Lonchura striata: one gene and its partner. The main gene of each other region encodes a partner of the protein of the gene in region 2 in a complex. Links are inferred from orthologs where the notes say so. Each region holds a gene or a part of one and is shown on either strand. Other genes may lie near its edges.

Region 1 (3,285 bases), on a different chromosome or scaffold from region 2:
GCTGTCAGTGCCACCCGTGTGTGACACGCAGCGTCGCCGTGCCCCCATCCCTGTCCCCTTGTCCCCCTCTCCTTGTCTCCACCTGGCTGGGGGTCCCAGCCAGCCCCGTGTCCCCCCTGGGCTGGAAGTGTGGGGGTCACAGCAGGCGGGGGATGGCAAAGCCACCAGCGAGTCATCAGCTGCCACTGAGTCACCGGGGCCGTGTCCCTGTGTCACCCTGGCCCGGGGAGATCCCAGGGCCCCGCTGGTGTCCCCGGCTGCCCCCGTGTCCCAGGGGTCCCTTGTCCCTGGCTGTCCCCGTGTCCCGGGGGTCCCTTGTCACCGGCTGTCCCCGTGTCCCGGGGGTCCCTTGTCCCCGGCTGCCCCCGTGTCCCGGGGGTCCCTTGTCACCGGCTGCCCCCGTGACACTGTAGATCCTGTTGTCAGGGGAGTCCCTTGTCCCAGAGTTGTCCCTGTCCCCAGGGGTGTCCCCAGGTGTATCCCTTGTCCCAGGGGTGTCCCTTGTCCCAGAGGTGACCCTTGTCCCCAGAGGTGTCCCCAGGGGTGTCCCTTGTCCCCAGAGTCATCAGAGACACAAGTGAGGCTGCTGGAAAAGGGGCTTTAAATTAAATAAATTAATAAAAATAGTAACAGTAGCAATAATAATAATAATAATAATAATAATAATAATAATAATAATAATAATAATAATAATAATAATAACAGCAACGTAGAAAAAGGTGCAGCAGCGGCTGGAGTCGCTCCGGTGCCCGGGGCCACTCGTGTGTCCCCGCTGAGGTCCTGGTCCCGTCTGTGGGTCCTGATGAGACCCCGCTGAGCTCCTGGGCTGTCCCTGCGGGCCCGGGGGTCCCGGCGGCGTCCCCGGGCTCCCGGGGGTCCCTAACACGCGGGGACCCCCTCGAGGCAGGCGGCGAGCCCGTCCAGGCAGCCGCGGAGCCGCGCCAGGGCCACCCCGGCCACCGTGTGCGGGGCCTCGGCCAGCGGGGCGGGGGGCGCCGGCGGCGGCTCGCGGGGCGGGGGGCAGCCCAGCAGGGCCCCCAGCAGGGCCAGCAGGCTCCGCAGGTTCTCCAGGTCGTTGGCCACCTGGGCCAGGCGCAGGTCGCCCCCGGGCAGGGCCCCCAGGAGCCGCTGGAAGAGCTGGAGCCGCTGGGCGGCCCAGCCCAGCCCCGGCGGGACCCCCCCGTCCGGGACCCCCTCCGGGACCCCCTCCAGCCCGGTGACGCGCAGGGTCAGCGGGAACAGCTGGGGGCACAGGGCGGGGGTCAGCTTGGGGCGCAGGGCCCCCCGGGAATGGCTGTCCCTCCTTGGGGACCCCCAACCCTCGGGGTGCTCCTAGACCCCATCCCTGGGGGTGTAGCCCCCCAAACCCCTCCAGAGCCCATCCCTGGGGGTGCAGCCCCCCAAACCCCTCCAGAGCCCATCCCTGGGGGTGCCCGGTTTGGGACCAGAGCCCCCACACCCACCCAGCCCCAGGTGCCCCTCCCTGGGGACCCCCCATGGGAGACCCCCCCGGGGACCCCACCCCACTTTGGAGAACAGGGTCCCCCCGTACTGAGGAGCAGCCCCCGAGTCTGGGGAACGCCGCCCCCGGTCTGGGGTCCCCCCGGGCCCCTCCGGGGGTGTCACAGCCCCCTCCCCCGGTGTCCCCGCCGTCCCCGGGCCGGGGTCACCTGGAGCTGCTGCAGGCGCGTGCTGAGGGTCCGGGTCAGGGCCCGCGCGTCCGCCCGGAGCCCCTCGAGCCGCACGGGGCGACCCCCGGCCGCCGCCACCCCCAGGCACAGCAGCCCCCACAGCGACACGCCGGGACACCGCATCCCGCCGGCCTCTGCGACGGGGGACACGCGTGTCACCGCCACCCCGGCACGCTGCGGGATGGCTGGTGGCACCAGGGACGGGGGACACGCGTGTCACCGCCACCCCGGCACGCTGGGGGATGGCTGGTGGCACCAGGGACGGGGGGACACGCGTGTCACCGCCACCCCCGGCACGCTGGGGGATGGCTGGTGTCACCAGGGACGGGGTAGGGGACGTGTGGGAAGCGGCGCCGGTGGCACACGGACCCCGGAGCCCTCGTCGCCGTGTCACGGTGCCACCGTGTCCCCGCCGGCACGTGCCGCTCGGGCCTTTGTCACCTCCCTTTGTCACCTCCGCCAAGGCCACCGCGGCCCGGCCGTGCCCAGCGGGGGACGCTGCTCGCAGCGGGGAGGGGAGGGCCAGGGTGGGCCTTGGGGCCCCTGGGTTGTGTCACCTCCCTGGGGACCCCTGCCCCCGGTGGGTGCGGGAGGGACACTGGGGTGACCGTGTCACCCACAGCTTGGGGATAGGGGGACGTGGGTGACACGGGAACGGGGGGACATGGGAGTGGGGGGCACGCAGGGATGCGGGGACACGGGGGTGCGGTGGTGACACGGGGGAAACAGAGGGGACGGGGTGACAGTGCCACTCACCGGAGCCTCGCCCGCGCTCGCTGAGCCTGGAACGAGACGGGGCCGGGTGATGGAGGGACACGGCCACCCCCCAGTGCCACCACCCCACCGGCCGGGCCGGGGGGGGCCCGTGGTCCCTTGGGTCACCCTCGGTGTCCCCGCGGGCCGAGGGACACGGCTGGTGGCACTGCCACCACCTCGGGGACAGCAGGGGCCGGGGGGCACAAGGACAGGGACAAGGAGGTGCCCAAAGCCCCCGGGGGCTTCGGTCCCAGCCCGGCCCGGACAGCGTCCCCACAGGTCTGGGTAGGGGGGACACTGGAGACCCCCGCGGCCGCACCCACAGGGACCCCGGGGTGAGGGGACCAGGGGGATGTCCCAGGGAGGGGGTCCCAGGGTGGGGGTCCCAGGGTGGGGGTTGGGGATGTCCCAGGGTGGGGGTCCCAGGGTGGGGGTTGGGGATGTCCCATGGAGGGGGTCCCAGGGTGGGGGTCCCAGGGAGGGGGTTGGGGATGTCCCAGGGTGGGGATCCCAGGGTGGGGGTCCCAGGGAGGGGGTTGGGGATGTCCCCGGGTGGGGGTCCCAGGGAGAGGGTTGGGGATGTCCCATGGAGGGGGTCCCAGGGTGGGGGTCCCAGGGTGGGGGTTGGGGATGTCCCAGGGTGGGGATCCCAGGGTGGGGGTCCCAGGGTGGGGGTTGGGGATGTCCCAGGATGGGGGTCCCAGGGTGGGGGTCCCAGGGAGGGGGTTGGGGATGTCCCAGGGTGGGGGTCCCAGGGAGGGGGTTGGGGATGTCCCAGGGTGGGGGTCCCAGGATGGGGGTCCCAGGGTGGGGGTTGGGGATGTCCCTGAGCCGGGTG
Region 2 (3,746 bases):
ATTCTCCAGCCCCCTCAGCTCCCTCAGGGATTCTCCAGCCCCTTCCCGGCTCCCTCAGCCTCTCCTGGGGCTCCAAACGCTTCCCAGCCCCATCCCGGCTATCCCGTGCGAGGGTGCCGGTGTTCCAAACCCTTCCCAGCCCCATCCCGGCTATCCCGTGCGAGGGGCCGCGGCGGGCGGGGCGCTGGGCCGGGGCGGGGCGGCGGAAGGGTCGGGGCTGAGGGGAACCGAGGGAAGCTGAGGGGGACCGGGGAAAGCTGGGGAGAAGCAGGCTGGGGACGGAGGGAGCCGGGCTGAAGGGAGCCGAGGGAGGCCAAGGGGAGCCGGGGCTGAGGGGAGCCGGGGCTGAGGGGAGCCGGGGCTGAGGGGAGCCGGGCTGAGGGGAGCCGGGCTGAGGGGAGCCGGGCTGAGTGTCTGGGGCTGAGGGGAGCCGGGCTGAGTGTCCGGGGCTGAGGGGAGCCGGGGCTGAGGGGAGCCGGGGCTGAGTGTCCGGGGCTGAGGGGAGCCGGGCTGAGGGCAGCCGGGCTGAGGGCAGCCGGGCTGAGTGTCCGGGGCTGAGGGGAGCCGGGCTGAGGGGAGCCGGGCTGAGGGGAGCCGGGCTGAGTGTCCGGGGCTGAGGGGAGCCGGGCTGAGGGGAGCCGGGCTGAGGGGAGCCGGGCTGAGTGTCCGGGGCTGAGGGGAGCCGGGCTGAGGGGAGCCGGGCTGAGGGGAGCCGGGCTGAGTGTCCGGGGCTGAGGGGAGCCGGGCTGAGGAGAGCCGGGCTGAGGAGAGCCGGGCTGAGTGTCCAGGGCTGAGGAGAGCCGGGCTGAGTGTCCGGAGCTGAGGGGAGCCGGGCTGAGTGTCCGGGGCTGAGAAGAGCCGGAGCTGAGAAGAGCCGGGCTGAGGAGAGCCGGGCTGAGTGTCCGGAGCTGAGGGGAGCCGGGCTGAGGGGAGCCGGGCTGAGGGCAGCGCCCGTCCTGGGCTCGCCGTCGGAACAGCGTCTTCAGCCACCAGTCGGAACCCCGAGAGCAAGGAGAAGGTTGGTGAATTTTCTTTTTATCCGCTTTCCCCCCCCCCCCTCTGATATCCTGAACTATCCCCCTGAGCACAGCCCCCAGCCGGTTCCACATCCCGCTCGCAGATCCAGGCAGTTTCAGCCCTTTCCCTCCTTATATTCCCTGAGATTCAGTGTCAGAAGCAAAACAAAAGTAAATCTCGGTGAATGTGGGCTGTGAGTCCCCGATGCTGCGGGAGCTGAGATAGAAGAGAACTTCGGAAAGTCAATGAATGGTACAGCGTTTATGAATGTATTTTATAATGAACACACTGAGAGCCCTTAACTTCCAAGCGTACCTATAACGTGGATACAACCTTTAAATGCCAAGGAATCCCAGGAGCTCTGCTCGTAAGGAAGGACAGATCCACAGCATGAATGAGGAGTGGTTTCACTACAAACAAGAGAAATTCCAGGGTCTGGAGAAACTCTGAAGAGTTCGGGACGTTTTGCTGTCGAGTCTTGGGGGCGAGGCTCCACCAGCAGGTTTAGAGTTGGATTTGTAGCTGTGCTTCTGCTCAACTTGGGTTGCTTTTATTAAAGCTTTAATATCAGCAAAATTATTCATTGTGGGTCGTACTCATTTCTATTTTGTGTGTACCACTTACTCTGAACTCTTTATTAAGAATGGTTTTTAATATACTCAATGGCAAAATGGAATTCCATGCTCAGACCAACAGGACTGGAAAGCCCTCGGCACTTTAAAGAACAGGTCAGAAGATGCTGTGCATAGACATTATTGCTAAAATATTTTTATGCTTTCTAGAGATTTTTAATATTTAAAACCAGCTGTAGTGCAGTGCCTGCAAAAATCAGGGACGGTTTATATGATTTTCCATGCCCAGTGCAGGTGTTTGTGGGTCCTGCTCATTTCAGGTTGTTCTGAACCTATTTCCCATGCTGATAAGCCAGGGAATTCTAGGATTTCTCATTTGTCCTGTAAATAAAAATGATCTTATTTCATTGCTCTCCTCCTTGCCTGTCATATCTGTTGTGTTTTGGTTTTAATCCCAACTCTTGGTGCTGAGCTATTCTGCAATTCTGTGGTTGATATGGAGAGGAATACAGTATTTACATAAGAAATCAGGAAATTTCTTGTACACAGCAGCAGCAAATTCTGTGGTTCCAGAATAATTTAAGATATATTGGTTCAAAAGGACCCAAATTCCTTCCTTTTGTATAGACACTTCCCCAGCCTCAAACAAATCAGTTTGTCCTGGCTGTGTTCATTTATTCTCTCTAGGACAGAGCTTACAAGTTGTAGTAATTCTCTTTATTTAACTTCCAGTTCTCTGTAAATGTTCCTGTAAAACTTGTGTTCTTTCTTACAGTGGAGTAAGAACTTCTGGCAAGTTCAGTGTTCTCACTGGAAAAGATTTTGGGAATCTGCTGCAGCAGTACATTTATCCTGCCCGGGGATTTATCTGTAGATATCTCTTTTTACCCAATTCTGCAAAGTTTACACAAGGAAGGCTGAACTTCGAACAGAGAAGAGGCTGGTTCTGTGGCCATGCAACTTTCAGGGCTTTTTTGGTCATGTTGAGCACTGGCTTTGGTCGGGAATGTTGGAAAAACCAGCCTAGGTCCATGTGACCTGAAAAGGGGTTTTTCCTTCTGCTCTAAAAATTAAATTAGTGCTGACATCAGAATCTCTGATTGCTCTGTCTGGCCATTTTTATGTCAGAACCCCAAAATCATTGAGGTTGGAAAAGCCCTCCAAGACCATCAAGTCCAGCCTTGTCCCCAGCCCTGAGTGCCACTTCCAGGAGTTCCTTGGACACCCCCTTCCAATCCTGACCACCTTTTCCAAGGAGAAATTATCCATTAATTTTTTTTCCCTTCCATCAGGACATTAAGAAACCTTAATATAAATTATAATTTTCCTTCCATATTGGGTTCTGGGGCTCTGTGGTTGCTTTCTTCCTGGTGTAAATGGATATTTAGTAGGGAAACTCTAACACCCAGGGCCTATGGATAACTTAATACATTTTGGAAATGGATGTCCAGTTTTCTTGGAAGTGATCTCTGCCAGTTTCCTGCTGGGAAGTGGCTGAAGGATGGACTGGGATTTTTGTTACACCTATGAAAGAGGAACATGGGCTGTTTCTCATTAAACCATTTAATAGTGTGAATAATGTACATTTATGTCAAATAAACTCTTTTAGAAGGTACTTATTCCTTTTGAAATTAGGGAAAATCTAACTAATTTCAGTGATTTGGAAATAATTCCTGCCTGTATCTTTGTGAAATGACCTGATAGCTCCATAATTCCTCTGGCCCTCATGGCTCTCTAGCAGAAATAAACTAATGGAAAAGGAAGAGGTAAGATGGGCCACCTACCAGCTGTGCTGAGAGCCAAATTGTCCCCTGAAATTGGGGCTGGGAACATCTGAGATTCCCTCTTGAGTTGCTGAAAATGGAGCTGAAAAAGCACAATGGAAGGGGAGGAAAGTGGATGGGATTGGCTGATCCTGCAGAGCACAGTGCTGGAGAAATTCAGCTCCAGCTGGGTGGGTGGGAGAGCAGGCAGGAGACAAGGACTTGGGAATTGTGACTTCCCTGGGCAGCTGGCTGCTGCTTCAGGTGGATATGGAATATAGAAATAAATATATTTTCCAGGACATGCAGCCCCAAAGTGCGTTACATAACCTTGGCACTGCCTCTTTTGGCTCCAGGGATGTTCTCAAGGAAACTGTCCTCAGGAATATTTCAG

Evidence for each region.
Region 1: the proteins of LEPR (region 2) and LEP are in contact, whole or in part, in a crystal structure (PDB 7Z3R), measured with the Mus musculus proteins. The link is inferred for Lonchura striata from reciprocal best matches to the Homo sapiens genes LEPR and LEP. Residues at the interface, in NP_666258.2 of Mus musculus: Tyr439, Leu440, Thr441, Arg466, Ser468, Leu469, Tyr470, Gln499, Pro500, Ile501, Phe502, Leu503, Leu504, Ser505, Val560, Phe561, Glu563, Asn564; in NP_032519.1 of Mus musculus: Lys26, Val27, Asp30, Thr33, Leu34, Lys36, Thr37, Thr40, Arg41, Gln92, Gln96, Asn99, Asp100, Glu102, Asn103, Asp106, Leu107, Leu110.

Annotation. Positions count from the first base shown.
Region 1 is NC_134607.1:73,000,231-73,003,515, reverse strand, and holds LEP (leptin), read right to left. Parts: upstream 1,934-3,285; 5' UTR 1,815-1,933; coding exon 1,671-1,814; intron 1,243-1,670; coding exon 880-1,242; 3' UTR 585-879; downstream 1-584. UniProt on the Homo sapiens protein: Key player in the regulation of energy balance and body weight control. Once released into the circulation, has central and peripheral effects by binding LEPR, found in many tissues, which results in the activation of several major signaling pathways.
Region 2 is NC_134611.1:5,535,796-5,539,541, reverse strand, and holds the start of LEPR (leptin receptor), read left to right. Parts: upstream 1-952; 5' UTR 953-1,018; intron 1,019-3,746. UniProt on the Homo sapiens protein: Receptor for hormone LEP/leptin. On ligand binding, mediates LEP central and peripheral effects through the activation of different signaling pathways such as JAK2/STAT3 and MAPK cascade/FOS.